3 linked regions of the Drosophila melanogaster genome follow. The protein of the gene in region 1 purifies or fractionates together with the protein of each later gene. This does not show direct contact. Each region holds a gene or a part of one and is shown on either strand. Other genes may lie near its edges. The genes, in order: Prp8, Brr2 and CG4849.

What was found.
Region 2: the proteins of Prp8 (region 1) and Brr2 purify together in Drosophila melanogaster (affinity purification with western blotting; 2 studies listed by BioGRID, with this or other methods). This does not show direct contact.
Region 3: the proteins of Prp8 (region 1) and CG4849 purify together in Drosophila melanogaster (affinity purification with western blotting; 2 studies listed by BioGRID, with this or other methods). This does not show direct contact.

Annotation. Positions count from the first base shown.
Region 1 is NT_033778.4:12,158,426-12,166,941, forward strand, and holds the start of Prp8 (pre-mRNA processing factor 8), read right to left. Parts: upstream 4,574-8,516; 5' UTR 4,460-4,573; intron 4,287-4,459; 5' UTR 4,269-4,286; coding exon 3,655-4,268; intron 3,599-3,654; coding exon 3,383-3,598; intron 3,323-3,382; coding exon 3,110-3,322; intron 3,048-3,109; coding exon 2,922-3,047; intron 2,879-2,921; exon of another isoform or gene 2,701-2,878; intron 2,642-2,700; coding exon 2,222-2,641; intron 2,164-2,221; coding exon 1,946-2,163; intron 1,889-1,945; coding exon 837-1,888; intron 775-836; coding exon 582-774; intron 546-581; exon of another isoform or gene 447-545; intron 359-446; coding exon 1-358. Other genes in the region: CG13177 (uncharacterized protein), read left to right, coding at 5,367-5,375, 5,437-5,496, 5,559-5,762; CG34232 (uncharacterized protein), read right to left, coding at 6,697-7,086.
Region 2 is NT_037436.4:15,960,111-15,971,971, forward strand, and holds Brr2 (Brr2 U5 snRNP complex subunit), read right to left. Parts: upstream 7,763-11,861; 5' UTR 7,643-7,762; coding exon 7,598-7,642; intron 7,502-7,597; coding exon 6,806-7,501; intron 6,749-6,805; coding exon 2,005-6,748; intron 1,941-2,004; coding exon 1,766-1,940; intron 1,711-1,765; coding exon 1,428-1,710; intron 1,370-1,427; coding exon 884-1,369; 3' UTR 726-883; downstream 1-725. Other genes in the region: CG17032 (uncharacterized protein), read left to right, coding at 1-398; CG10516 (uncharacterized protein), read left to right, coding at 8,260-8,583, 8,889-9,450, 9,516-9,658; brm (brahma), read right to left, coding at 10,267-11,123, 11,184-11,861. UniProt on the Drosophila melanogaster protein: Catalyzes the ATP-dependent unwinding of U4/U6 RNA duplices, an essential step in the assembly of a catalytically active spliceosome. Plays a role in pre-mRNA splicing.
Region 3 is NT_033777.3:27,959,243-27,968,975, reverse strand, and holds CG4849 (uncharacterized protein), read right to left. Parts: upstream 5,562-9,733; 5' UTR 5,423-5,561; intron 5,297-5,422; 5' UTR 5,289-5,296; coding exon 5,175-5,288; intron 5,115-5,174; coding exon 4,446-5,114; intron 4,388-4,445; coding exon 4,296-4,387; intron 4,237-4,295; coding exon 4,045-4,236; intron 3,992-4,044; coding exon 2,489-3,991; intron 2,424-2,488; coding exon 2,066-2,423; 3' UTR 2,018-2,065; downstream 1-2,017. Other genes in the region: betaTub97EF (beta-Tubulin at 97EF), read left to right, coding at 1-49, 1,385-1,707, 1,775-1,870; CG31131 (uncharacterized protein), read left to right, coding at 5,796-6,935; CG31253 (uncharacterized protein), read left to right, coding at 8,442-9,581.

The sequences.
Region 1 (8,516 bases):
GTGTCCTGGAACGTGAGGAAATCGTTCGGCATTTGGGGTGGGCCAGCCATCTCGCTGGATCGATGAAGACCCAAAACCAAGAGATCTAGCACCAGTCCATAGTACTGTGTGATGAACGATGAGAACTGCAGACCGCGAATGATGCCGTAGCTGTTCGTGTGGTTCATGTCCTTGTAGTTGATCACAACGTTGTTCTTGGCCGTCATGTAATCGGCGATATTATGATCGACAATCAGGCGGAGCAAACGATTAAGCAGCGTCAAGTCAATTTTCTCGTACAGCTTTTCAAATCTAGACTCCAGCAGCACATTGCACTCGCCCTCACCCACATCCCAAACATCCTGCAGATTGTTAATGCCTGTTGAGGAGAAAAATACGAATAAGCTAAGCCAGAGATAGTATCAAAGGGGTTCTATATTCCTTTTTTTTCCATACCACTGTGTATTTCGCAGATCATCTTTGGCGTGAGGTTTGCAACAAGGGGATGATCAAATACATATCACTTTGCTACAAATCACACACCCAAAATGCCCGGTACCGCCGTCAACTATGTTCTTTTGAAACCAGTTCCAACTTTATACCTTGACACCACTTGTAGGCCAACAATGGTGGCGGCTCCGTGTCGCTGGGCTTGATCCATGGCGGGAACAATCGACGCTTGTCAGCCTCATACCACAGATACTGATCCAAATATGCGTCTGTAATCTTTTCCAGGGGTTCCACTTCGTAGACTGGAATCAGATGGCTGTACAAGTCCATGAACTCAATGCCCACCTAAGATAGTAATACAAGTCTTAAAGTTATTTCAAATACAGATAGAAATAGTGATAACTAACCTCCTTGAAGGCTCGCTGCGTGAGCAGATGACGCTTGATGCGGGACAACGCCTCGTGAGGATTATCGTAGGCCTGTTCGATGAGGCCCAGCTCCTCACGCTGACTTTGATTCAGCCTGGACTTAACGCTATACGCCTCTTTTAGCCTCTCAAGGGCCAATATTAGCAGCTTGGTATCGTGTTTGTATGAAAGTGGTGGGAAGGGAATGGGCGCAAAGCGACGTGATTCCAGCCAATGGACCGTGGTTGTGTAAATAGCCACAGCCTCCTCCGGTGATATGTACGGACCGTCCTTTAAGTAGTTGTGCTGCCTCTCCTGCTCCGCCTTCAGATAGAGTCGCGTTAGTCGCCCCAGATTCTTCTTGCACACCGTCTTATCGACGGTTGCTCCACGTCGTATACGTTCCCGATTATAGTGAGCCGTGTTTGTCCACCAGTCGGCTTTCATTTTCACGTAACGCAGGATCATATTCTCAATGGGAATGGGTAGACCAGGCACCTTCCACGGAATGTTCGCTTTCCAGCAACGCCATGCCTCCGATAAATGCTGCAAAATGGTACGAGCTTTGTTCTGCTTGATGCCCTCGGGCATCATGTCCACAATATCGTGCATCACGGAGGCACGCAACTCCAGATCAAAGTGGGACTCAACACGCTGCTTAGTCACCGTCTTGGCCACACCCTTGGAGTGACGACCCTCGAACTGACGCGACAATAGATTGCCCAGCCAGCGTTCCAGTAGCGGAGTGATGCCGCGCATAAAGAACAGCCAGACTCGCCATCCAGGTGCCCAAAAGCCACATCCGGGTCCCTTGCCCACGGGCCCCGTGTTGAAGCGATAGTATATCAAATGTTTCAGATCCTTACACATTCGAATCTGCCTCATCAGCTTGTATTTATAGCGATACATGCCAGTCAGCTGGCCAACATGGGCGAATATGTACTGCAGTCCGTCAGCCAACTGAAAGGCGTCCACATTGTTTAGCCGATACTGAACATGAGAGTCAATGATTAGCTTGGTCAGACGCAGGATCTCACGGCACAAATGGAAAGCTAATAGGAATGAAAGGAATTGATAAAAGGGAAATTTTTAGAAATTTAACTGCTTACCATTTCCGAATCGCGACTTCTTACGCTCCTTGGTGGTCAGAGTTTTAACGGGCTTCAAGTTGAAATTGTAATCTAAATGCAAGTAGTTAAGATTTTTTCGGTGAATCAATAGATTCAACATGTTATATCCCTGACGACAAACTTGCAGTCCAGCCTCAACCCAATCCAGAGTTGTGGTCTGGAAGAATTTTGTGGCCTTAAACGAACGGAAGAGGTAGCTGCAAAGTAAGGATACAATTCAAAACGTTTCTATAGTTTGATTTAAATAAAACTCACCGTTTCTTTTGTGGCTTTGGTTTGCGGTGTTTTAGGGCATTGAGCACATAGTATTTGAGCAGTTTCTGGTAGCTAACGCGCACCTTAACCGGATGGCCAGGTGGACAATGCTCCTTGTACCAGCACTTGACCAGCGGCACATCGATGGCACGACGGGAGCGACCAGAGCGCATGTTAAAGGGGCGGGGTGCCCACAGCAAGGCGATTCCGTTTGCAGTGTTGTCAGTGTACAGGGGAGTGTCCTGCAGGAACGGCTGCACGTCGTCCGGAAGAGTAAAGTCCTCGTCGTCATCAGGTAGGGGCTCCTGAATCTTCGAGTTTGCATTGCGATGGGATATGGGATTGATGAGCGGATCAAAGTAAAATGCAGGCAGATCGGGATCTTCGGTCTTGATGTAGACCACGTTGGGAGTGTGATACCTGAAATAGACAAAGTACATCATGTGGTCATGTGGATCCTCTAAGCTACAAATGAGTTTATATGTATGCAACTATCAGCAGTCACGATTAATTCTTAACAATCGCCACGAACATATTCATTGCAGCTCCCGTTTTATCGCAAATTTGGCAGTAACCTGGGAGCTCGTCGTTTTTCTAACGCGGCATGAAGCATTTCCAGAGAGGCTGATCACTTGGAAACGTTTCTAACCACGTAAATAAGATTTTAGAATGGTAATTTTTGAAGAATGTGGACTCTTACCAGCTCAAATGCACAAAGTGTGGCATATTGTTGTACAAGTAAGGAAAGGCAATGCGGTATTCCGTGCGAATTGGCTGCCGGATAATGACTTTGTTAATGTCATTGAACTCGTTCCAATCCTCGTCCCTAAAATTAAATAAAAGCAGGAATTACATTTTAACAAGTATTTAGGGTATGCATTGTCTTACCCAACATTGTGGTCCTTAATGAGGGGTTCAAACTTAGGTCCTCCTGGAATGGCCATATTAAGAGCCTTGGCGGTGAAGAAACTTTTTGGGTCAAACAAATAAAAGAAGTTATTGTCGACTAGATCGGTGAGCAATTGATTGGCCAATCGATACAGCGTGGCTAGCTGAGGCAGGGAAAGATTCCACTTTCGGTAGGTAGTGCCGTTCACAAACCTTAGATGGTAATAAATGAATCAAAACAAGATCAGATATAAATGACAAATCAAAACTCACTGTGTATCCACTAGAGGACGATGGTCATAAAACCATTTGTATACAGCATTGTCTTCGTCATTGTCCAGCTCAATTTGAATGGCCTCCAAGGGCTCCACGTCCAGCACGTTGTCGGCATAGTCTAGAGGCGGCTCTTCATCGTCAAATGGCGGGAATCTCATGCGCTTAAAGTGGCGACGATCGCGTTTCTCACGCCGCATCATGATCCACATTGTACTGCGGAAGTGTTTAACGTCAGTTGTGTCCACGAGGACAAGTTAAAGTCAACTTACCCCCATTGTGCTATGTAGACGGGCTCAATAACCCAGGGAATCTCATTGACAAAGGTAATGGCTCCAGTGATGTGGTACAGCACCTGGACATCCCGGATCTGCTCCCATGGCATTGGCATGTTCTCTAGCAGCTTGAGCACAGCATGTGGCATGTACTTCAGGGCGCCGAGATATACTCGCTTGTCATGACGATACTTGCGCGACGTCATATCTCCGTGATCGCGAATGATCTTCCTGATGTGCTCCGGCGGCATATCCTCCTTCTGGGTATCCACGAAGCCAAACTTGCGCTTCTCAGCGAATCGCTTGGACTGCAGATGCTGCCATTTAAGCGCCTTCTCCTGCAGCTTCTCCTCGGTGAGTATGTCCGGCTTGGGCGTGGGAATCTGGCCCAATCCGGGTCCCTGACCTCCCACCGGGATGGGTATACCGTTGGTATGGCCACCGGCCGGCGGCAGCGGAGCCCCCGGTGGCGGAATCTGCTGAATTTGGTTGGCCATCTGCTGCTGGGCGTGCAGTTGAGCCTGCTGAGCATGGGCAGCCGCGTAGGCCTGCTGGGCCATCAGCTGGGCTGCCCACGCATTTTGTGGTATCATGTACGGCGGAATGGACATCGTTCCGCGGCACTTATCCTAATCAATAAACGACGAAAAACATACACTTTACGACACACAGACACGTTTTGTTTCAGGGGGAGAAATCGAAATGCCGCCGCCGACGTCGCGGTCTTTTGCAATTTTCACCACGCTGTGAAAAAGCGTAAATTTCGCTTTTCCCCCAGCTAATCTTGGTTTGAATATCTTACCTGGCAGTTAATTTGCAACTGTACTGCCTATTTGGCACTTTTTCTGCCTTTCTTTGGCCGCAATTCACAATTTTTCCGGTTCGCAAAACGAGAGGTTTACTTTTTCATGCGGCAGCCATTTATAGAATAGTAGAACGGTCACATCACTCAATCGATAAGACATCTATCGTCTATCGAGAGATTAGGTGAATTGCTAAACAGTCTAGTGGTAAAAAGCAGTCAAGATAACCACACAAAGTGCGAGCAAATTTGAAAATTTAAATAACGGTGTTATTGGGGAATATATTACAAATTCACCAAAACTGCGACGACTAAAACTAATTAGCCTTATTCACTTAAATTACTTTGTATTGTAGTAGTAAAAAATATCGAGACATTAGCATTTTTAATTAAGGCTAAATCCTTGTAATTAAATCAATGAATCAGCTCGTCAACAAATGTGTTAATATTAATAATTAGGAACTTAATTAGTGTAGTGCGTCAATATTATTGTTGATGACTGGTAAAAATAAGAACACACAGTCGACTTTAGCTAACAACAAACCGAATAAATAAAACACTAAATAACTTTTTCTTTGGCCATTAACTAATGCTCACTGTAGCTTAGAAATTCAAATAACCGAATTGGAAGATCCCATCGAGTCATCTGTGATAATGAAACACCTCATTTCGCATCGGGTAACGACATCCCCAGACTCCCGAATGTTTGTCCAATCAATGATCATGTGCAAAATCGATCCCCGGGACGTTTTGGGCCACTATAAATATTGTCGGCAGGTCGCTGGGGATCACAGTTTACGGACAACAACGCTTCTGGCCAGAACACGATCGGGAAAAGTTGCTAATTTGAGAGAAAAACATAAAATCTAGAGTGCATCCCCGTTAAATTTCGCAAATAAAAGCAACAATGGCAAAGGTATTACACACAAACAAAAAGTGTTTCTATCATAATGAGTAAATGTTGTGAACATTTTCAGTTATTTTCCATCCTTTTGTGCCTGGCTATTATCGGATTCATCAGCGCAGCTCCTATAGAGGTAGGTCATATCTTTAGTTTTTCCATTTCAAAACCAACCAACAAAATCCATTCGCTTGGCAGGACAAGAAACCCGCTGAGGAGGCTGATCTCTCCACCGCGGACTCCATTGGCTACGGCTACTATGCAGCTCCATCGCCAATTTACTACGGCGGCTATGGAGGTGGCTACAAGTACGGCGGATATTCCGGTTACGGCGGCTACGGCGGATATCGCTCCTACGGAGGCGGATTCTATCGTCCCCGAATTTACCCAGTTTGGGGATAATACTATGATGCCAGACCGAAAAACGTTCCTTAAGCAAGAAGTTTCAGACATATGGACATACGTTCCTTAATCCACAAAATCCTATGTAATCGCACTAGTGACCAAAGAAGTTATACAAGCAAGCCCCCCAGTTTTGAAATTTTAACCCTTTCACTGTCTTGCAACGACGAGTTGATGACGTCAGCGGCAGTTTTTGACCCCAGAGCACAATTAACACCGGCTTTATTGCAATAAAAACAAAACAAAAACAAAAAACACTTTACGTACGACTACGCTCGCATGTGTGGTTTATTATTTTCAAATTTCAATTGTCCAAAACCGGATTTCTTTTTTGTTTTTTGAACTTCCAAAGAAATTGAGGCGGCTAACGTAACATACATAAGCCGGCCAGCAAAATTCCGAGTTGGCCAAGTCGAGTAATTACACACATCTGAACCTTTAGTTGGACCTATCTTTAACGATCCACATGGCCAAATTTCAGGCCATAAACGGGGTCACAAGAAAGCTGGTCTATACAATGGATATCAGCCAGAAGTTTATATAGTATATAACTCTTTGTAAAATTTCAAAAGAAAACCATACTATAGAAGTTAGTTATTGCGGCCATAAACTATTTAAAACTCATAATTCTCTGAAATACTACCTGTTTTTCAACTTAAAATCCAAGTTAAATGCATTTCCTACATCAAGTGTTCCAAATTATTAAAAGTTGAAGCTGCTTGTGGATATTAATATCATTTATGAAATGTGTGTTTATTTGGTCATGGCTTATATTTCACAGTAGTTTTGTAAACATTTAAATAGATTGGCTTTACTGTTGCCATACATGCAATTATACGAGTGTTTACTGTATTCGGAGTTTAATCCTCGCATAAGGAATCCATTGGCTAGAGTTTAAATAGAATATATCCTGGCCACAGGATACAGGATTATCCTAGTGGCGACGCGATCCCGTGTGCCGCTTGTGATGCTGCTTGCTGCCCTTGGAATGCGATCGGGATTTGCGGGTGTGGTTGTCCTGCTGCTGGCGGTGCTCCTTCTGGTGGTGACTCTTCTTGTGGCCCGGCTCCTTGTGGCTCTGCCTGGCCTTTCGCTCAGAGTGATGCGCTTGATGCTCCTTAACGTGGGAACCACCATGTTTCAGACTATCATGGCCCGAATGCCTCACCTCCTGGAGCTTTTGGTGGTGGTGGTGGTGCTGTTGCGACAACTGGCGCTTGTGGTTCAGATGATGGGTTCGCTCATTGTCCTCCAGTGGCTGCATGGCCATGGCCACGGCCACCAAGATAGTGGCAAAAACGATAATCTGCAGCGGGCCAAACATCCGGAGTAATCAAGGTGAATCGATGGGTATTGATAGTAAATTAAATTGAAGCCACTTTCATATCTGAACCGGCGATTAGATTAGGTCCGCCCCTTGGAACCACACACTCACCGCCTTCAACATGATAGCTTCGGTATAGGATATGGACTTCAATGCCTTCTTCTTCTTCTGTTTCTGCGATGCAAAGCTCTCGGATCGTGTAAACCCGGCGACGCTCCAGTCTCGACTGTTTTTCGGAGACTCTTCCGCCGCCGTTTATATCGTTATCTCCTCATGCGAGTGCCCACAGCCCACAGCCCCTGGCCACCATATCACATAGATGGGGTATATATGTAAATATATTCGGCATGTTTTATCGTTCATTTAATGGGCAGACAGACAGACGCACAGTGGAGTGAACAGCTGTTGAATGATTTTCGGGCCAAGATTAGCTGGGAAAGTACTCAAACCTCACAGTTCTTTTCAAAAATATTACCCAAAACTTTACAATTTAATCGGAAAGAGTAGTCAACTTGAGATACTATCTATCAGGCTCATCAAATCATAGATACAGATACAAAGCATAACTCTCTGTAAGTTACTATATATGGATTGGTTAATATTCTTTAGAAATGTAGCTATGCTTTTGAATCATTGAAGCCAAAAGTGCAATAATTACATTTAAAGCTTAATGTGATCATGACACTTTGATTTTTAAACTGGCTCTTCATTTCAATGAATGACTGCTGAAATCCAATTGATATTGGCGATGATGTCAAATCTCACGCTTTTTTTTATTAATTTAGGAGCCCCCGTTTTTCCAATAACTACTTATCTTCAAGTGACAAACTGTGCAGACTTATCTCTAACAATCGTATTGGGTCACTTTTTAAACAGTAGACGAAATACATATAAAATCTCTCTTATCTGCGAAAGGAAGGTGAGGCAATTGGGTGTATAAATTTAATCATAAGTCTCGACCAAGTTCCACTCGAGATACTTTCAATAAACAATAATAATGCGCACTAAACGCGAGCGTCGTAAACGAAATAATTTAATAATCCGGCCGACAATTCAATAATTTTGTTAAGTCATATGTTTTATTATTGGAATCAAGAAAATGATACATACAAAGTGGTATAAATAAAAGAACTGCTTTCGCTTGCTTGCTTGCGGTGTGGAATCTATTGATTAATAAGTTTATTAATATTGGATATAGCGTGTATGTGGATCCTTTTTGCTGATCTATGTAATTAGCTTCTATGCATATGCGTTTCCCTTTCTATCCTTCAAAACTTCTACCTCGCCGTTCTCGTCGCTTTCGGCGTACAAAAAGTGAATAAAAATATATTGAATATTTTTAAGTGCGAACAAATTGGGATTACAATACTTCATATATAAGCTTAAACATAAAATATATAGAAAAAACATGAAGAAAATATATATGTTGA
Region 2 (11,861 bases), on another chromosome or scaffold:
GACCAGATGGCGGCAATGCCAATGCCAACGTCGAGTTAAATCCGCTGGGACCACTCGGACCCAGTGGTTACAACCAGGAGCAGGCCGCATCCAACGGAGCTGCCCACAGCAACTACAACAATGGACTCAACTCAGGATCCTCGGCCGCCAGTGGGCAGGCTCAGGGCTTCCAGTCGCAGAGTGCCAATGGATCATTCGGTGCCTCCTCCGCAAGCACGGCCACTCAGTCCCAGAACACCAGCCCCTTTGGATCCAATAATGCGGCAGGTGCTTCGCTGAGTCAGGTTTACCATCTTCCCAATGGACAGACAATAAACTTTAGCTCCACGAACAGCTTCGCTAATGGAGGAGCCAATCGTGGCAGTAGCCATGGATCGGCAGTTTCTGTCAGCCGCTAAAAGCCAAGTTCACCATACAGGGAAAATACCTCCAAGTTAATCTATTTGTCAGCAATCCTATGTGCAAATATCTAAAAAATCCAAATAAATATTTATGATTGAATTGAATTTGAATGAATAATTTGAATGATTTTTTTAAAATCTAAACGGTTGCATTTTGATGATCCAGATTACAAATTACAACAAACTTGAATTGTTCCATACGAAATTTAAAAGCTTAAGACAATATAAGAATTGGCACTGTTGACTACAAAATATTTAGATTCTTGGTATCAACCAGCGAAAGAAAGTTGAAAGGTTTTTTTTATTTTGTTTTTTTTTTTTTTTGTACTACTTTATATAATTATCCTCAGTGTATCCTTGTACAATTTGGTTTCTACTAAAGTAGTACACGAATTTATTATTGCTACAATTAATGCGCGTAAATTGTAAAATGATTGATTTTCATTTGTGCAAACATGCCCAACTGATGATCCTAAAGAAAACTAATCTGACTCGCTTTCGCTTTCCGACTGGAAGTCACCCACTTCGATGGAAAACTTGTACTCCTGATCACAACCCAAATAGGAATCGCTCATGTAGTACAGAGTGTAGTCGTGTTTGCCCGGACTAGGTGCCACAAAGTCCAGCTTGACCTTTGCCTTTTGCTGCAGCGTGAGCCGTTTGATGGAGAGCAGGGAGTTGGTCTTGGGATCACCTATGACGACCCACCATCCTTCTTCGCGCTTCTGCGGGAAGAATGGAGCAATGACTGGGCCAGTGACCTCATCCTCACGTTCCAGTTGAACCACTACATTAACGGTTGATCCTGAGTTGATGCGATCCTTGTCCACCACCTCATAGTTCAGCTCAATGTTGGGGTAACGGTTGCAGAATCGAGCAACATCGGCCATTTGTAAATCGGAGAGCTGCAGCAGGCGAGTGCGATCCTCGTCCTCCAATTCCATGATATCGAAAACGGTTTCGATTTTCTGAAATATACGACGAAACATGAGATAATCCTAGAGATTCACTTGTTGTTACTCTCACCTTCTCTGTGCACCGCTTGACAATCTCGGGACTAAAGTGCGGCAACTGTTTCAAGTACGAGTCCTTGCTCCACATGGCCTGCGTGACCATCTGAGCCAGCTCCATGGCAGCCACAGCCGGCGACAGCCAGCCATTTGAACTCAGCACATCTACGCAGGCCTGAATGAGGCGGATGGCCTTGCTCAGTATCTGCTCCGTATCGCCTTGCAGTTCAGGTCCCAGTTGCAATCGCGAAAGATGAGCCTGAAGCAGCAAATTGGTCTTGATGTGCGGATCATTGAATCTAAAAATAACATTGGTAAAATTCTTTTTAAGATCTAAATGTATGGGTTGCTTACTTTGGAGCCGTTTCATTGGGTCCTGTGAGTTTGTTGGGCAGTCGCTGAGACAGCGTGCGCAGAACCTGCTCCTCATGATGCCTGACCACAACATCCTCGTACTCAGCTGCCGATGAAATAATTTCCAGCAGGCCCCGCACTTTTGTTTTGCTGTTGAGGGACAAACTGAAGAGCTCTGGGAAAAAATGATAGGAAAATGAAGATGACAATTGCCTAAACTTAAATCTAATGCTTCATACCGATAGTTGTGTAGTTGATGTAATAGTAGGCAGCAATCATGCCCAGATTGAGTGGCAGCGTGTCCATATCATCCTCCACGCTAATACACTTGGACTGTTCTAGATCGCTCAGCGTATTCTCCACCAACTCCGAAAGATGGTCGGAGAGATGGCGATGCGTGACACCCTGCAGATTGTAGTAGTTGGGATTTTGGGTCAATCGTCTGTAGAGGAACGTCCAGGTGAGATAATCAACGGCATCCTGTTTGTTCTCAATTGTCTTGGTGACCACCTCGGCGTTAAAGTGATCATGCATTCTATGATCCAAATGACTTTCGATGGGCAGCGGCTCGTTGATGAATTTCTTAAAGAAGTCCTTCTTGCTGCTCTGGCACATCAGCACGCATTTGGCATCCGCATCCTCGTTCGGCCGATTGGCTCGACCAATCATTTGCAGCACGTCTGTAATGGGATAGTCCTCATACGAATGATTCTTGCCATTGTAAAATTGTGTGTCCATGATGATCACCAAGTGAGCGGAGATGCTCATGCCCCAGCAAAGGTCTCTGGAGATAACAGCTACTTGCACGGCGCCAGAGTCAAACAGCTGCTCCACCAGGCGATGATCTGAGGCGGATAGGCCCTCATGGAGATAGGCCACTCCTTGCGCTAGGGTCTCCTTCAAAGTTTTATCCGTCATTCGTTCGAGGAACGGCTTGATGTCCTCCTCCTCAGCATGGAAAAAACGGTTGGGTTGCAAATCCGATGCTGCGTAGGTCAAAACATCAATTGCAGTGAGCCTGGCCTGCTTTCTGGACGAGACAAACACAATCACCGGCTTGTGGGCGCTGTACTTGAGGATGGCATTGTAAACAGGCTTGGACATCGTAGCAATTCTGGTGGCGTTGTGAGTGACATTATAGCCCTGGATGTGCAGCTCCAACGGAATGGGACGCACGCTGGGGTGGAAATTGAAAGTGGCATTGGGATTACAGCCCAGCCACTGGGCGACATCCCTGGCATCCGTTAGCGATGCAGACAACGCCACTATTCTGATCTGTTTCTCAATCTGCGAGCTAATGTATCGCATCCTGGAGCATACAATTTCCAAAACGGGACCTTCTTCGCCACCAACCAACTGCAGTTCGTCCACAATGAACAGGTTCACCAATTGTACGTTCTTCCTCTGTTTCCATCTGCGAGACAACACATCCCACTTATCCGCAGTAGTGATCACCAGCTGTCCCTTGGCTATGAGCTTAAGATCGGTTCCAGTTTCGCCGGTCAATTTAACCACTTTTATGTCCAGGGATCCAAATTTGCTATGCCAATCCGCAAAAACTAAGTCCGCCAATGCCTCCTCCGAGACCAAATATACACATCGGGCATCGGATTGGGTAGTGAACAAGCGCATGATGGCAAACTCTGCAATAGTCATCTTTCCGGATCCGGTTGGTGCTCCAACAAAGACATTCTCATCACTATTGTAGACTGCGTTGAAGACCTGTGTCTGAATGGGATTGAATTGCGGGAAGCGTTGCGAATAAAAGGATTCAAACTTCGGCTGCCGGAGTGCACTAATAGGAAGCGGTTGGAGATCCAAAAGCTCCGTAGGTGGCATATTCTTCTCGGGCAGAATCAAGTGTCGGAAAGAAACTGGTAATTGGGTCTCTGCACCTATCCAACGATCTGAGACAATGCGAAGGAAGTACTGCGGTGGCAGAGGTTCAAAGACAGGCACAAAGAACTTAAGCTGGTGCTCATCTTGGGAATACTTCTGCTTCAGCAGGAAAAACTCATGATGGAGAATGAGTTCCGAGTCGACATCTTCAATTAAAACCCAGAAACCTTCCGACTGGCCATGCACCTTTTCATCCCATTGGAAATCCGGTGTAATTGTTAGTTCCACTCTCAGAGTTCCCCTTGTTATGGGTTGAATGTGCGTGGAGAGCTCCAATTTGGGGAACTGGTGCACAAACTTGTGGATGGTCTTTCCTAGCTTGGGCACTCTAATCAGCTCACCAAGTTCATGTGGCTCTAGATCGTAAAGCCTGCCCCAGGGGAAGTGTTTTTTCTCCAGCTTCTTGGCAATCTCATCGGGCATCTTCTTGAACTGCCTAAGTGGTGTCATCGATTGCCACATTCTTCTGTCGATCATCTTGCAGAGCGTCAACGTTTTGTCCGCCAATTGAGCCCATCCGCGGGTCAATACAATCTCAAAAATGGCTCTCATTAAACGGGCAGCGGATTGGGTAATAAACACCATGTCCGACATCAATGCAAAGCCCTCCAGTTTCAACTGGGAGATATAGGCTTGCAGCAAAACATTCACCTTGGCACTGTGCTCTTCAATGGACTCCTTAATGGGAATGGGCACTCGTTCCATGAGCTTCTGCAGCTCCAACTTTTCCTCTTCTCGGACGGAAATATGCCGGAATTCCGAGGATAGGGAGAATACGCGGAACAACTCAATCTCACTAAGAGTTTGCTTAAGGAGCTGGTTGTAAGTCAGCATGGTTTCATGGGTTAGGTAATAGTGAGAGGCAATGCGTCCCAGATCAGTAACCTGAAAGTGTCCCGTCTTCCGATCGTATTTAATAAGGCCACTTCTCTCCAGACAGCAAGCTGCGGTATGCAGGAGATCAGCACGATGCTGTTCCAACAGAGGATCAGCCTTGATGGCATCATGGGAAACTCCGTACAACGTGGGATTCCTCAGCATTCTAATGTACAGATAAGTGTAGCCCAACCAGTTAACTGCATCCTGGAGATGTTGGACCGTTCCTAGCACAATCTCCGCATTGAGCATGTCAGGAAGCTTGGAGATGAATTGGGACTCAATCGGCAACTGCTGGTTGAGCAAGGAGAGATAGAACTGCAACTCACTGTGATTGGTTATAAGAATACCCTCACCCTTGGTATCATACTGCGGTCGTCCAGCACGACCCAACATCTGCAGTACATCCAAAGCACTCAGCTCCACCCAACGTCCTTTTTCCGGATTGTATACCTGCGTGCCCTTGATGATTACAGTATGGGCAGGGAGATTGACACCCCAAGCTAGCGTGGCGGTGGAAACCAAAACTTGAATGTGCCGATCAGCAAATAGATCTTCCACCAAAGTACGATCGACGCGGGTCATTCCAGCATGATGAATGGCGAAGCCGTAGGGCAATAACTCCTTAAGCTCTGTGTTCTTTACTTGTTCGGCTTCAGTCCGCAGCACTTCCATGCTTGCTGATCCTTCCTTAAGAAAGCTACCAAGGGTATCCTGCTCCAGGCACATGTCCCTCACAGCCCTGGCCGTTTTTCCAGTCTCCTTGCGCGAGTGTACGAAGACCAGGACCTGATTACGCCCAGCATGCTCCATGGTCTTCTCATAAACGATCTCGTTCATCACCTGGAATCGCTTTAGGGCCTTCTTCTCCGTCACACCGATATACTGCTGCTCCAGGGACACAGGCCGATAGCTGTTATCAAAGTAGAAGAGGCCTTTATCGGGCTTTACGCGTAGGAAGGTGGCCACGTCCTGATAGTTGGGCAGTGTGGCAGATAAGCCCACCAATCGCACCTCCTCCTGGGTAGTTTCAATATTCCTTATCGTACGCGCCACCAGGGCCTCAAGCACCGGACCACGCTCGTCGTGGAGCAAGTGAATCTCATCGATGATAACCAACCGGACTAAGCTCACAAAGGTACGCTCGCCTCCCTTTCGAGTGATGATATCCCACTTCTCTGGTGTGCACACAATCACCTGCGTGGCGGCGATCTGTTCCCTGGTCAGCTGGTGATCTCCAGTCAACTCAGAGACCGTCAGATTATAGCAAGCAAGACGTCGTCCAAAATTGCCAACCATTTCCTGCACCAGCGATTTCATGGGAGCCACGTAAATGATTTTGAAATCCTGCGCATTGATGGTGCCATCCTCGTTGATGTGCTTTCCAATCTCCCGCATCATGGTTAGCAGTGCCACATTAGTTTTACCAGCTCCAGTAGGGGCGCACAGCAGCATATTCTCATCACTGTCCAGTGCGGCCTTGTACAAACGACTTTGGATACGATTAAGGGTCTTGAAACCCTCGAACACAGGCTGCACATATTTCGGAAGCTTGTCCACAGGCTGAAGTTCCTCATTGGCATCAAATGGCACGGGTTTCAGTGCAGGCACGTGCACCTCCTCGTAGCCCTTTCGTTGTTTCCTGTAGGAGCCGTCGGGAAGCTGACAGCGCTTGTTGGCCATAAAGTGAGATCCTTGAGTGAATGCCATCTCTTCCAACTCGAGTAGCTGTCGCACACCGGCCACCTGCCCGGCAGCCGCCGCTCCACCATCCTCTGCATCGCCTTTGCCACGCTTGCTTCCCCGTGCTTCGCCCTCCTCCTGATCCTCTGACTTTCCCGTATCCAATTGCCGAAGGATTTTGGCCAACGCAGAATTTCCGCGCATCTTCTCGCGAATCCTTTGCCGCTCGCTGTCCGTTTGGGCCGAGGCGAGCATGGTGCAGTACAGGACCATCTGCCGGTTAAGCTTCAATTGCTTAATGAAGTCAAAGCAATCGTAGCCCAGCAGAAGCACCAATTGATTTTCGCAATCGCGATCGTCGGCGGCATCTTTGAGGATCTTCAACACATCGGCGGCTTTGCTTTGCGACACCATGGCGTCCTTGTAGAACTTGCTCAGACAACGCTGCAACCAATACGCATCTATGTCCAGAGGATGCAAGGAGCGCTCTTTCTTTACATTATTTGCGGCTTCCTCGTTGGCTAGCTGGGAAGGGATACACGAATAAGAAATGGGATTCGCAATTTTAACTACATTACTCACATTCTCTGCATGCAGTGTGTGATCAATGCGGGCCTCCTCTCCTTCATCCTGGGCATCATCGTCGCGAATCTCGCCATACATGTCGTTGTCGCTCTCCTCTTCGGATTCCTCAAACTGAACATTGATGCCGTAGGTTTCATCGATCTGCTCCTCGTTGTTGGGAGCAGCAGTCAAAGCATTCACGGCATCGCTGCCAAAGTCTGTGATTTTTTTGCCCAGGTTAACCAGCAGAGCGAATCGCTCATCTGTAACTGCGCCCAGCAAGCTGTCTATATCCTTCTTTCGCTCCCGATCCTTTAAACGATCGTTCTTGAGGACAGCCAGAATCTCATCAGCGGCACCGCACAGGATATCCCTGGGCTGATCCCCCAGAGCCTCCTGGATGAAACTGAGCAGGACCTCGTAGGTCTGACGAGTTTCCTGGGTCTTGGGTCGATACACAATGCCCACCATCTCGTCAATGCCCTCGGAGAGCAGAGTGGCTCCCTTCATCCGCTCGAAATCGTACTGGGCCTCGTCGCGCTTCTGACGTTTCACCTTGCGCTCCTCCGTTTTCTCCGGCTTCGTTCGCTGGTACCGATCTCCCATCCTTGTTCCGTCCAGCTTTCCCACCAGGGAACACACCTCGCCAGTGGCCTCATCGCGGCGCGGACGTTCGATGAGTCGGACATCGGCTTGCAGCACAAGATTGGAGTTCTGAAAAATGGAAAATACATTTAACGTGTTTGTGAAATTCTGGTGAGACGCCGCATGGAGTGGGAGAAGTTTTCCCGGGCGGGATTTGACACTTACCGCCTTGTACTCGTATTGCAGCTGACGTGCTGCGGCATCCGCCATGTCTGTTTAGTTGTTTTTATAAGTATTAAGCACTTTTATTAACCTATTTTACAACTTTTTGCGGAAATATCGTAGTGAAAAGCCGCTGTTTGTGGCTACGCGTGCTGCCAGATTGTCAAAAGGCTAAAGAGATGCCATATGTGCGAAGCCAACTGAAAATCGATATCAGGGCTGCCATTTGTAGGAAACCTATCGTTAGCGCGCGCATCTAAGTTTTTAAAAATGTAGCCCATCAACATTCTATTTAAAATTTGAATACTGGTTTTTTAGCTTTTGTAAACACCAAAATTTCCTACGCACTAGCAATCCACAAAAGAAATTGCTATAAATTTGACCATAATTCTCATAATTGAGATATATCTAGTATATTTTAAGTTCCGAACTGCGGCTTCGGTCACACTGGCGGCGACGTCGGCAGCGATGCCGACGTCTATTTACAACGCATCGTTTTGTTTATTGTTCAGTCAGATCAGAGTAATGTGCTTATATATGAGGCTGCAGCTGGTTTAACTGGAAACATTTGTGGTCCGTCGACTGCTCGAGATCATTGTACACGGCTGACACAATTCATTACAAAGCAATCGAAGGTAAACCAGTGAAGAGGAACAAGTGCCAGCATGCTGCTGCCCCCGTACCAAGAAGCCTGCAATCCCGGCTTCTGTGATTGCCCGTTTCCCAACTCCATTGAGGTTACCAACCACAAGGGCCATATACCCGACCTGGTCAGGTGCCAATGCGGCGAGGATGAGTCCGGAAACGTGAATGCCTGGCGGTGGCACGCCACTGATGAATCGGATGCCGTGGTCACCGACCGGGACATCATCTTCCATCCCACCTACAGTCAGGGCACGGCGATTGTGAGAGGGGAACAGGCCCTAAAAACAAACATGGTGCACTTTTGGGAGATGCGCGTCATCACGACTCTGGCCGGCACGGATGTGGTTAGTTATCAGGCCGGCTTGGCAACTAGTTGGGATGCTCAGCATGATGAATGTCACTCAAAGTCGCCGCCTTAAAATAGAACACAACTAACCAGGCATCTGGTGTGCTCGTTTCCATTGGAGACGACTTGATTGTTCGCTTCGTTGTATTATGGATTACAGATTACAACGCGGCGATAAGATAACAGACGCAGCGGGAGGAGGAAATCTCAGCAGACACCCCAACTAGATGATAAGCCAGCTAAAGTTCAATGTAAATAATGTTCTCTTTATAATTGCCTTTCTTTTCTTATAACTTTTCCTAGATGTTCGGCATCGGCACGGAAAGCGTTAATCTAGGGCAGTTCAAGTTTCACTTTGTCTCGGCCCTGGGCACCAATGCCCAGTCCTGGGGCTTTTCGTATTCCGGAAGGATTCAGCACTGTGGCGAGTTACTGCCCTACGGCCAGAAGTTCTCGCAGGGCTGCTTGATTGGTGTCTGTTTGGATCGAACGCGTGGGCACTTGGAGTTCTATTTGAACCGCAGATCGCTGGGAGTGGCCTACACCAATGTCCCGACGGATCCGGATGTCAAAATATATCCCATGGTCTGCTCCACAGCCGCGAAGTCCGTAATTAGGCTGATCAACTGCACTTCGCAACCAGTCACACTGCAGCTGCGATCTTTCCAAGCATTGTCCAGGCAGCCGCTCAAATTGGCCGAACTGCGTCAAATGCCGGGTCTCAAAGGCATCATGCAATCCTACTGGTTCCTGGCACCGCCAATTCGTTACTCCCGGAACTCCCGCGAAAACGAATTGGATCTGGGCGACGAAGCAGTGCTCTCAAGCTCCAAGCAACGGTTGAGGCGCAAACAAAAGTACCGAGGTGAGGTCACGAAGTTACGTCCACTATCATTTCTGCCACATCACTTTTGCAATTTCAATTAATAGAAACCGACGATGCGGCTGTTGATGAGGACGACTTGTACGCCAATGCACACAAAATCACGTTGCGAAGCAGTGATAGCGGCGACGAGGAGCACACCGCTAGTGTCCACGAGATGTGCGACGAGTACTTCCACTACCTGCTTTAGTCTTACCAAGCATATCAATATGTTTAAGTATGCATTTATTTGAAGGAGCTTAGTTATAAATGTAATAAGTAGAAATGCTGAAGCTAATTTTAATTACTGTAAGACTTCCTAAAATACAACTTATTAATTAAACGAAACATCATAATTTTCCCATTTTGATATATTTAAAACCATTTCCTTTATACGCTAGCAGCGATGTATTCATTTAGGTACCGATTTAAATAAGATCTTTGTTACTAATTCCAGCCTGGTCTAGGTTGAACAATCTCTCAAGGAGCAATCCGCCGTCCATTAATGACAAGTTTTTCGATTTACTTTATGTTAGGTATGCATTTATTTTAAAGCACATAATTATACAATCAATAGAATTGGGAGAAATAAATGGTGTGTGCGAAAATAATTGAATAGGAAACTTAATCGAGAACCTACAACTAGAAAATTAGTATAGATAAAAGTGATAGCATGATAGGTTAGATGGTTAAAAAAACCCGTAGGCTAGGGTTTTGGTAAGCATCGTCCTTGAAAGTAAAACTTAAACTAATTAATAATCAATTGCCCATGCCTTCGACATCCGACGATCCGCGCTTGAAGATCACTCCCAACGGTAGCTAGTCCATGTCATCGTCGTCATCGTCTGAAATAGTGTACTTCTTTTGGGAGCGCTTGCGACGCGTCTGCTTCTTGGATGTGGTAGCCGCTCCGCTGCTCACATTCGACGATGATTGCGTGGGCGTAGCGGGCGCACTAGCCAGAGATTTGTTCAGTTTCAGCTTCATTTTGACAGCCGCCGCTGAAGTGGTTGCAATCTCCTCGTCGTCGGAGCCGTCATCGCCACCATCGTCGTCGTCGTTGTCCGAATTATCCGAACCTCCATTGCCGTGCGCTTCACCCGTGTTATCTCCGGCTGCCACTGCGGCTGCATCCGCTGCAGCTGTTATCCTCTGCCTGGCCCCAACGAATACCTTTTGCAGGGCAATCGAGTCCAGGTAAATCAGAGACGCCTCTTCGTTGTAGATCTGTGCATTCTGGCATAGCTGCATAAAGTCCTTCTCCAGCTCGTTGAGATCGGCATACTTGCAGTCCTCAATGCGCTGCAGGATTTTCTTAATATCAACTGGCCGCTTAATGATCTCGTAGTAGTCGGGCAACCTCTGCCGCGAAGGCAACTTCATGAACGGTTCGGACAGGGTTCGTCCATCTTGGTTGTGCTTGATAACCGCACTCATAATCTTGTGCATCTGCTTCTTGGACCGCTTGTCCAGATTTTGGCGTCGTCGCCGTTTTAGGATCAACGAATCATCGTCGGACTCTTCCTTCCGATTCTTACGCTTTCGTCGCTTGCGCTTCGAATCGTCTTCCTCCTCTTCCTCGTCGAACTCAGCGCCATCGTCGATGGCTTTCAGCCACTCCTTTTCAGTCAAACTATCGGTGTAGTCTACTTCCTTTCGCTGCCGGGAGCCTCGACCTAAGGCGGAATAGTTATCGTAAGAAAAATGTTTAAATAACAGCGAGCAGTGTAACTCACCTAGAATGGTATCCTCGTCGTACTGATAGTGGAAACGCTCTACTTCGTCATCATCCTTTGTCAACCAGTCGGGTAGCTCGGACTCATCGATCAGACGTTCCCTACCCGGATGGATCTCCTCATCCTCCTTCTTGCGCTCAGCATCCATGCGCTTAAATATTTCAATCTCCTCCTCGCTGCGGGCGATCATCATGTTGATCATTTCGTCATCGGGCACCTCATTTTCCTCCTCCTCTTCGTTGTCATCCTGGTGCAGAATCGTTTGTAGGAACTGCTGTCGCTCGCTACCCGTTGACTTCTGATCGAACATACCAGCCTGGATGACCTTCTCGTCCATGTTCAGCTTGTACCTGGCTGCTGCCAAGATGCGCTCTTCCACCGAGTTGACTGTCATTAGTCGCAGGACGCGCACCTCGTTACGTTGACCAATACGATGGGCACGATCCTGGGCTTGCAGATCCTGATGGGGATTCCAATCGGAGTCGAAGATTACTACAGTATCGGCGGTCTGCAGATTAAGACCCAAACCACCAGCTCGGGTAGATAGCAAAAAGACAAATACATCCGAGCCTTTGGCGTTGAATTTTCGCAGTAGTTCGCCACGATCCTCGGCCTTCGTGGTACCGTCGAGTCGAAGGTAGCCGAATTGGCGCCATCCCAGGTAGTCTTCGATGATGG
Region 3 (9,733 bases), on another chromosome or scaffold:
TGTGATCCCCGGCACGGACGCTACCTCACCGTGGCCTGCATCTTCCGGGGTGAGTCCTGCCGTTTGATGAATGAAACCACCGGGGTGGGAAAAGAAAAATAGTTATTTAACAAGAAGCCCTAAACACTTTCACGCGTAGCCAGAAAACACAGGGATCCATTCATTCATCCATCCGCTCATTTATTCAGGAGCCCCCACACCGGCTTATCCCAGTCAACTTTGTCACTTTGTCATGGGCAGTCGGCGGCGCACCTGTCCGCCGCTTTTCCGGACCCGCAGGCACGTAGTCGAGCCATCAGGGGCGGATCAAGGGATCCGCAAGGAGCGGTTTTTAGAATAAGAAAAAAATTGAAAGGCTGAAAACTAAGCAATTACCAAAACTAGTGGTAGTATTACCAAACCAAACCAAAGGACTGTCTGACAAGGAAGACATCGTATAGATAGAGATCTGAGCCGCATCTGCAGGACACCCCCTTAGAATAGAACGACACAGCCGCCCCTGGCCAACACCTTGGACTCCTGGGGCTTGGCTTTGGCGACGATTTTATTAGCGAAAGCCGAGCACTGGGCCTACTACTTATGGGCGCCACTAAAAATGATTAATGCCCGCTGGCTGGCGGCTAAAAAGGCTGCAATCCGTCAACGCGCACGTAGCGCAAATTTGTTAGCCATGGCATCGTGGCATGCCGCCCTCGCCACGCCCACCGAAAAGGTTGCTTCGCATTTTTTTTTTTTCGCGCTAATTCCTAAATTAATAAACTGCGATGCGGCGCCCAAAAGTGTGCCGCATAATATTTCATTTGCTATTCCTTGTGTGCGCTCGCGCCGCTTTGGCCCCTTTGCTTTTGACTGATGACTCGCAAAACGCGCGTAATTAGAAATTTACTTTCAAGATCCATTGGGGAATTGCGACCGCCGCCTGACACGGCCCCCAGGCCCAACTAATCATGCCGAACGTGACTTGGCCTGCACTGCGTTCCAGCGCACCCGCACTCAAGCTTAGCCCAGGTTCAGCCCAGATCCGGCGTCACCATCTCAGGATTCGTTATCGTCTCCGACCGACTGCCAGAAATACTTGCAAAATAATTAATCACAAAAATGTGCGGAAAAAATGCCAGCGAGCAGGAATTTAAACAACTTTTTTAGTTACCTCCTGGGACTTTTTCACTGTTTCCATTCCCAAGCTCCGAGCTGAGATCCCAGTGCAGGTGCCCGGCCAGGTGCGCAGGCAGAACTTGGAAGCCATTTAGTATTTCATATTCAGGGATTTGGGGATTCCGCCGGCGCATCAAAGCGAACTTGTCTTTTGATGTAAATGTTTAAATGCGCACAGGAAGATTGTACGAAGGCAATTTTGTTTCAACGCTCTCTCAATAATTAACAGGACCCATGTCCATGAAGGAGGTGGACACGCAGATGTACAACGTGCAGAGCAAGAACAGCAGCTACTTTGTCGAATGGATTCCCAACAACGTCAAGGTGGCCGTCTGCGACATCCCGCCCCGTGGGCTCAAGATGTCCGCCACCTTCATTGGCAACTCGACCGCCATCCAGGAGATCTTTAAGCGCATCTCCGAGCAGTTCACTGCCATGTTCCGGCGCAAGGCCTTCTTGCACTGGTACACCGGCGAGGGCATGGACGAGATGGAGTTCACCGAGGCCGAGAGCAACATGAACGATCTGATATCCGAGTACCAACAGTACCAGGTTAGCGATCCCTCCATATCCTTGCAAAGTATCTCTAAAAACGATTTCCATTGGTTTCCTCCTTTAGGAGGCTACCGCCGACGACGAAGTGGAGTTCGATGACGAGCAGGCCGAGCAGGAAGGCTACGAGTCGGAGGTCCTGCAGAACGGCAATGGCGAGTAAAGTCCTAGAAACTATCACAACTGTAGCTGTTTTCTGTATACTATTTTGTAAATTATTTGTCCCGAAAAGGCTTCAAATAAATATTTAGTAAATATAGTAAAAAAAAACACTACTCCCTTTAAAGTTCGCAATTGAAATTCGGAAAGTATGTCTAAATGTTTTATTTGTTTTCCCGATTCCTGATTTGTGGGAAGTCTAAAGCGGGTAGTTGATCAGCACATCCTGGCGTGCCAACTCCAGCAACATAGGATCGTCGAAGAATTTGTTGATGGACACGTCCTCGGACAGACCCTTCCTGCGACGCGTCTTGATCATAAACTCTCTGGCCAAATGGGATGCTTGCTGCGGCTCCAGTGGCCGGATTATGATGCTCTTGTCCAGGGGATCGCCAGGCACTATCTGCCAGTGATGGAACACCGAAAGGCAGAAGGCCTGGCCCTGGGTGTGCGTGCGGAGATCCGTCTCAAATCCAAATGAATCAATGGCGGGTATGAAGGCTTTGATCGTATATATGGGAGAACCCGATACGGGAGCATCCTGCGTTACGTGGCCTCTGCAAAATAGATTATATAAAATTTAGAGGCATTCTCTTACGGAAACATGAGCAGCAAAACTTACCTGCGCCTGGCCAGCACAGTATAGACAGCGGATACACAATCTGCCGGCGCCTGAACCTCCACAAATAGATATGGTTCCATTAAACGTGGGGTGGCCATCAAAAACGCCGAGTATGCCACACGACGGGCTGTTGGAATGATCTGTCCACCGCCTCGATGCAACGCCTCGTTGGCGATGACGCCATCGAGAATCTTAAACTTGACATTACGGATTGGCTCCTCGCACAGCGGCCCTTCTCGCGTTCCCCATTGGAAGCCCTGCACAATCGAATCCTTAACCGCGGTCAGCAGGTTCTTGTCCACTTCCGAGGGCAGGGTGTCGTCGACCAGGATATTTGGACCCGTGGAGTCGGGACCGAAGGCCCAAATGGAACGCGCCGCAAGCAGATCCCAATCGTAGTTGACTTGGAAGAACTCGCCGATGCGCTTTTTGTTCCAGTTTATGCAGACGGTTCCGTTCTCAATGTCCTCGGCCAGTCCCTTCTCCAGTGGCTCCGAGATCATGGTTATTTTGTTTTTCTTATTCGGCGTTTCGGCGAAACATTTCAGGGAACTCGTTTCCACAACTGTTTCGCAAAAAGCCACGACGGGATCCGCCACTTTGATGTCGATCTCGGAGTACATCTTCCGCAGATCGTGCATGACACAATCCAAGTACAGCTCGCCAGTGCCCAGAATAACATGCTCGCCGGATTCTTCAACTCGAGTGGAGAGAAGTGGATAGGATTTATTCACCTTGCGGAGGCCATCCAACATCTTGGGAAGCTCGGATGGATTCACTGGCTCCACAGCAATCTTGATAATGCTCTGGGTGTTGAACTTCAGTGGTCGGAATATGTAGAGGTCTTCTGGAACATTAATATCCACAATTGTGGAGGTCTTAACGATACACTGATCGATGCCTTCGATGAGCACCCAATTTCCGGCGGGTACACGATTTAACTCCACCTTGTAACGAGACTCAAATACCCACAGACGACCGACTTGCAGAATGCGAGAGTCCTCCTCATCCTGCAAGGTGTAGTTCTCTCCCAGGACACGCACCTCCTGGCCAGCGTGTAGAGTACCAGAGACAATCCTCGCCAGCACTTGGAAGAAGGTACAGTCGTCGTTGGGATACATCTTGGAACTGTGCACCATCAGAGTGCCGTATTGGTTGCATGATATCATATCCCGGTAAATGTCACCCTCTTTGGGTCCAGTGTATATATGGTCCACCTTTCGCTTGGCATTTTCCAAAGGGGATTTAATGTGCTCCACGCACATATCCACAAAACCGCTGCAGTCGCCCATGAAGCGGTTACAGACGAGACGCAGCAGTGGTCTTATATTGGACTTCATCTCCTCCTTGGAGACGCGCACATTCAGCTCGGCCAGAGTGTCCGACAAAGTGGTGTCCACATCGCCAACCACCTGGGCTATCAGCTTGTACATGGGCTCCAAAATGAACTCCACAAAGCTGCGCTGTGCCGAATTGTGCGGCTGCTTCTTCGAGAACTTGCGCCTATTAAAATAGTTGGTATTAGCAAATGATTTGGATATTTAGGCAGCACTTACGTTTTACTGTTGAAGTACATGTCACCCCAGAGCCGCTTGGCAAAGTCCAGGTAAGCCACTCCCTCATAGGTGTCTGCATACAGCTTGGCAAAGGATTTCAGAGTGAAACAAAATCCGTACAACGAGCTGGCGAAGCACACGTTGCCCAAAATAGGCGAAACTAAGAGATTGTCATCTGGAGCGCCATAGGTGCTGTAAGAAAATTACACATTAGTAAAATCATTAGTGTTGAGTATGAATCACGTAATCACCTCAGCAGCCCATTGACTTCCTCCACAATGTGTTTCAACTTAAAGTAGGCGTCCTGGGGCGGCAATTTCAGCTCCAGGATGAGGCGATCAATCTGCACGTCAGAGGAAACCATTAGAAAGTTTAGTGTCACCTTAAGGCCAAACCCTCACCTTGTTTATGCAAACGGTGATAGCCTGGCGCTCTTGCACCGCGTGCTTGAGCAGTCGCTCCGTGTTGAGCATGACGCCCTCGGCGGCATCGATGAACAGCACGACACCATCGCTCATTCGCATGGCGGCGGTGGCCTCGTCCGAGAAGTTGACATGCCCCGGGGTGTCGAAGATGTTCAGCAAGTAGCTCTTCTGTTTGACATCCTGCAGGACAAGTGTGACCGGCGTGGCCTTGATGCTGCAGCCGCGTTCCTGTTCCGTGAACAGGGTGTCCGTGTAGCGCAACTGGCGCTCCTCCATGGTCTCAAATTGCGGATGCGTCTGCCGGATGAGGCAGTCGACAAAGGTGGTCTTGCCGTGGTGCAGGTGGCCAACCAAAGCCACGTTGCGAATAAGCGGCGGAGTGTCCATGAGATCGGCCATGAACTCCATGTCGTAGGTGGTCTCCTGCATGTCTTGCTCCTTGATCTGGAACTTGAGCTTCTTCACTGGCTCTATAAGCGGCTTGTCCAGCGGCTGGGCGTCCTCCTCCTGGACAATGGTCTCCACATCCGGGCCGTAGACCTCAACTGCTGACGGATAGTAGCGTTTGTCCTCGTGCAAAACCACGGCGGTCACCTCCTTGTCCTCGTCCTCCTGTGGCTCCACCTCGTCCTCGTCCATGGCGTCCTTTAAATGAAACACCATAAATTAATTATAAGTTTTATTTTATTTTTTGCACGTTTATACCTCTGGGTCATCCTGCACATCGGGTTGCCCATAAATACTTTGCTCATCTTCCTCGTCGCTGTCTAAATCGGGGCCAATATAGTTGCCAAACTCATCGTACAAATCGGAATCCATGGTTTTTCCTAAAATAAATATATATATCAATACTTTCATTCAAAATTTGCCGGTGGCGTCTTAGAAAATTTAAAACTTTCACGGTGACTCGAAACTTATGCTACTCTTGTTTTTTGTTGTTTTTACCGACTTACCAATTGTTACAGGACCTTCTGATTGCTAAATTCTTCTTTAAAACGTAAGAAAACTGCAAATAATATAATTATTCACAATTTTTACACAAAAACGCGGACTGCAAACACGCTGTTCTTCTTCTTCCCCGAAAAACACTCAGCTGTTAAGCGGCCGGCATTACCTACGGCATTGCCAGCACAAATAAAGTAAGCGCTTGCAGCCCTGGCGGCAACATTTGAATTTTCCAGTTCATTAGGGCTAATTAACGTTTTTGCCAAGAAAGCAGGTAGCTAAAATACGCGTTGAAACGTAGGTAGACCCTTGCGTTTATATTGCACTGCAGTCGCCAAAGGTAATTAGTCGAAAGTGTCAACCGAAGGTATCAGCATCATAATGAGAAAATTCTGTTTGCTTCTTTTAATGGCGCATTTTGTGGCCTCAAGCCGAAATTTAAACGATATTCTCGGTCGCGAGGAGTGGATTAGCATAGCCAAGGAATACATCAAGAACCACAAGCCTTACAAAGCCAAAATCTACACACCCTACAAGCCGCGCATCGTAAATTTTACCAATCCGTTCGATGGAGATTTTTGGGACACAACTACGGTGGCCACCAATCCGCAGGAGACTACTGGCTACTTCACTGGGGAAGTATCTACTACAACGGAGAAAAGTGCCACTGAGGAATCTACAACTACGGCGGTGGATTATTCAACCACCGAATCTAGTTATGTAACTTCAACCACGGATACTTTATATTCCACGACAACAGCTTGGCCGGAAGTCACCAGCACAGATGCTATAGATGCCACTGAATCAGTAGCCCTATATTCCACAACAACTTCGAGTCCAGAAGCTGCAGATTCAACGACAGAAAGCAATTCAGACAGTACTGAATATGCTGAATCAACGTTAATTTATCCAGATTTATCTACAGGATGGCAAGAAACTACTACAGAAACCATTCAGAGCTCTACAGGATTGCAGGAATCAACAACAACAGAGTTTATGCCAAGTACTACGGAATTTCCGGAATCAACGACTACTTTAAGTTCTGAATTTTCAGAGAAAGAACTAATAAAAACTACCACAGAAATAGAAATCAATCCAAGCACTACAGAATTGCCGGAATCAACGACTGAATCTGCTGATTCTACCACAGAACCGAACGAATCCACGTTTGCATTATCCACAGATCAAACTACAACTGAAACAGCAGAAACTTCAACAGAAGAATTGTTTTCAACCACAGAAACCCAGGAATCTACTACATCCTTGCTGGAAATCATTGCCACGACTCCGGGCGTGGAAACTACCACGTCGTATCTGGATGCAGTGATTGACAGCACCGAAGAGGAAAGTTCTACATTATCAACACCATTTGGATTTAATTTAACAACAACGGAAATAGTAGAAACTCAAGTAGAAACCACAACACCAAGGCAATTGAATTTCGTCGAAGATTACGTTCGCCAGAGACCGAGAAAATTGAAGTACTCTTCGGACACGGAGCCGGAACTTTACTGGTACTGAAAATGATTGCAAATAAAAATTAAGAGTTTGATTAAAAATTTTTAGAAGCAAAAATTAAGAGTTTTAATTTAAATAAAAACGTAAAGCAATTGGCAACGCGATTTAAGCTATGGCTTATTTTAAACTAAGAAACGCGGTCACACTGGCCAAAAGCCAAACACATTGTTGTTTGATTTTTCAGCAGAAATTTTTTATTTTTTATTAGTTTATATCGTAAACATGAGTTTGTCCAGCATAAAACAGAAAGAAGCTAAGGGCAAAAAGAAATTGCTGCCCAAACTGCGCAATATTCTAGCCAATCCTTACAAACAGCACAGGTGAGGCGGGCAGAAACCAATAAAAACCCAATCAACAGGTTGTTTCTTTTGACTTTAGCCCTCTTTTATCGGAGGAGGAAGTGCAGCAGTTCCGTCAGATCCTTCAGAATGCAATTAAAAGCAGCGACGGGCAGACCAAATCGTTTGCCACTCGATACGGAATACATCTCGGCCTGGAGAGCTCCCTACGCGCCATAAACTCGCGGCGTTTCTCCTGCCTATTGGTTTCCTTGAGCCTGCGACCAACTCACCTCGTCCGTCTAATGGCCACCAGTGCATCTGTCAAGATGCCCACGTGCTCCTTGATCTGGAACTTGAGCTTCTTCACTGGCTCTATAAGCGGCTTGTCCAGCGGCTGGGCGTCCTCCTCCTGGACAATGGTCTCCACATCCGGGCCGTAGACCTCAACTGCTGACGGATAGTAGCGTTTGTCCTCGTGCAAAACCACGGCGGTCACCTCCTTGTCCTCGTCCTCCTGTGGCTCCACCTCGTCCTCGTCCATGGCGTCCTTTAAATGAAACACCATAAATTAATTATAAGTTTTATTTTATTTTTTGCACGTTTATACCTCTGGGTCATCCTGCACATCGGGTTGCCCATAAATACTTTGCTCATCTTCCTCGTCGCTGTCTAAATCGGGGCCAATATAGTTGCCAAACTCATCGTACAAATCGGAATCCATGGTTTTTCCTAAAATAAATATATATATCAATACTTTCATTCAAAATTTGCCGGTGGCGTCTTAGAAAATTTAAAACTTTCACGGTGACTCGAAACTTATGCTACTCTTGTTTTTTGTTGTTTTTACCGACTTACCAATTGTTACAGGACCTTCTGATTGCTAAATTCTTCTTTAAAACGTAAGAAAACTGCAAATAATATAATTATTCACAATTTTTACACAAAAACGCGGACTGCAAACACGCTGTTCTTCTTCTTCCCCGAAAAACACTCAGCTGTTAAGCGGCCGGCATTACCTACGGCATTGCCAGCACAAATAAAGTAAGCGCTTGCAGCCCTGGCGGCAACATTTGAATTTTCCAGTTCATTAGGGCTAATTAACGTTTTTGCCAAGAAAGCAGGTAGCTAAAATACGCGTTGAAACGTAGGTAGACCCTTGCGTTTATATTGCACTGCAGTCGCCAAAGGTAATTAGTCGAAAGTGTCAACCGAAGGTATCAGCATCATAATGAGAAAATTCTGTTTGCTTCTTTTAATGGCGCATTTTGTGGCCTCAAGCCGAAATTTAAACGATATTCTCGGTCGCGAGGAGTGGATTAGCATAGCCAAGGAATACATCAAGAACCACAAGCCTTACAAAGCCAAAATCTACACACCCTACAAGCCGCGCATCGTAAATTTTACCAATCCGTTCGATGGAGATTTTTGGGACACAACTACGGTGGCCACCAATCCGCAGGAGACTACTGGCTACTTCACTGGGGAAGTATCTACTACAACGGAGAAAAGTGCCACTGAGGAATCTACAACTACGGCGGTGGATTATTCAACCACCGAATCTAGTTATGTAACTTCAACCACGGATACTTTATATTCCACGACAACAGCTTGGCCGGAAGTCACCAGCACAGATGCTATAGATGCCACTGAATCAGTAGCCCTATATTCCACAACAACTTCGAGTCCAGAAGCTGCAGATTCAACGACAGAAAGCAATTCAGACAGTACTGAATATGCTGAATCAACGTTAATTTATCCAGATTTATCTACAGGATGGCAAGAAACTACTACAGAAACCATTCAGAGCTCTACAGGATTGCAGGAATCAACAACAACAGAGTTTATGCCAAGTACTACGGAATTTCCGGAATCAACGACTACTTTAAGTTCTGAATTTTCAGAGAAAGAACTAATAAAAACTACCACAGAAATAGAAATCAATCCAAGCACTACAGAATTGCCGGAATCAACGACTGAATCTGCTGATTCTACCACAGAACCGAACGAATCCACGTTTGCATTATCCACAGATCAAACTACAACTGAAACAGCAGAAACTTCAACAGAAGAATTGTTTTCAACCACAGAAACCCAGGAATCTACTACATCCTTGCTGGAAATCATTGCCACGACTCCGGGCGTGGAAACTACCACGTCGTATCTGGATGCAGTGATTGACAGCACCGAAGAGGAAAGTTCTACATTATCAACACCATTTGGATTTAATTTAACAACAACGGAAATAGTAGAAACTCAAGTAGAAACCACAACACCAAGGCAATTGAATTTCGTCGAAGATTACGTTCGCCAGAGACCGAGAAAATTGAAGTACTCTTCGGACACGGAGCCGGAACTTTACTGGTACTGAAAATGATTGCAAATAAAAATTAAGAGTTTGATTAAAAATTTTTAGAAGCAAAAATTAAGAGTTTTAATTTAAATAAAAACGTAAAGCAATTGGCAACGCGATTTAAGCTATGGCTTATTTTAAACTAAGAAACGCGGTCACACTGGCCAAAA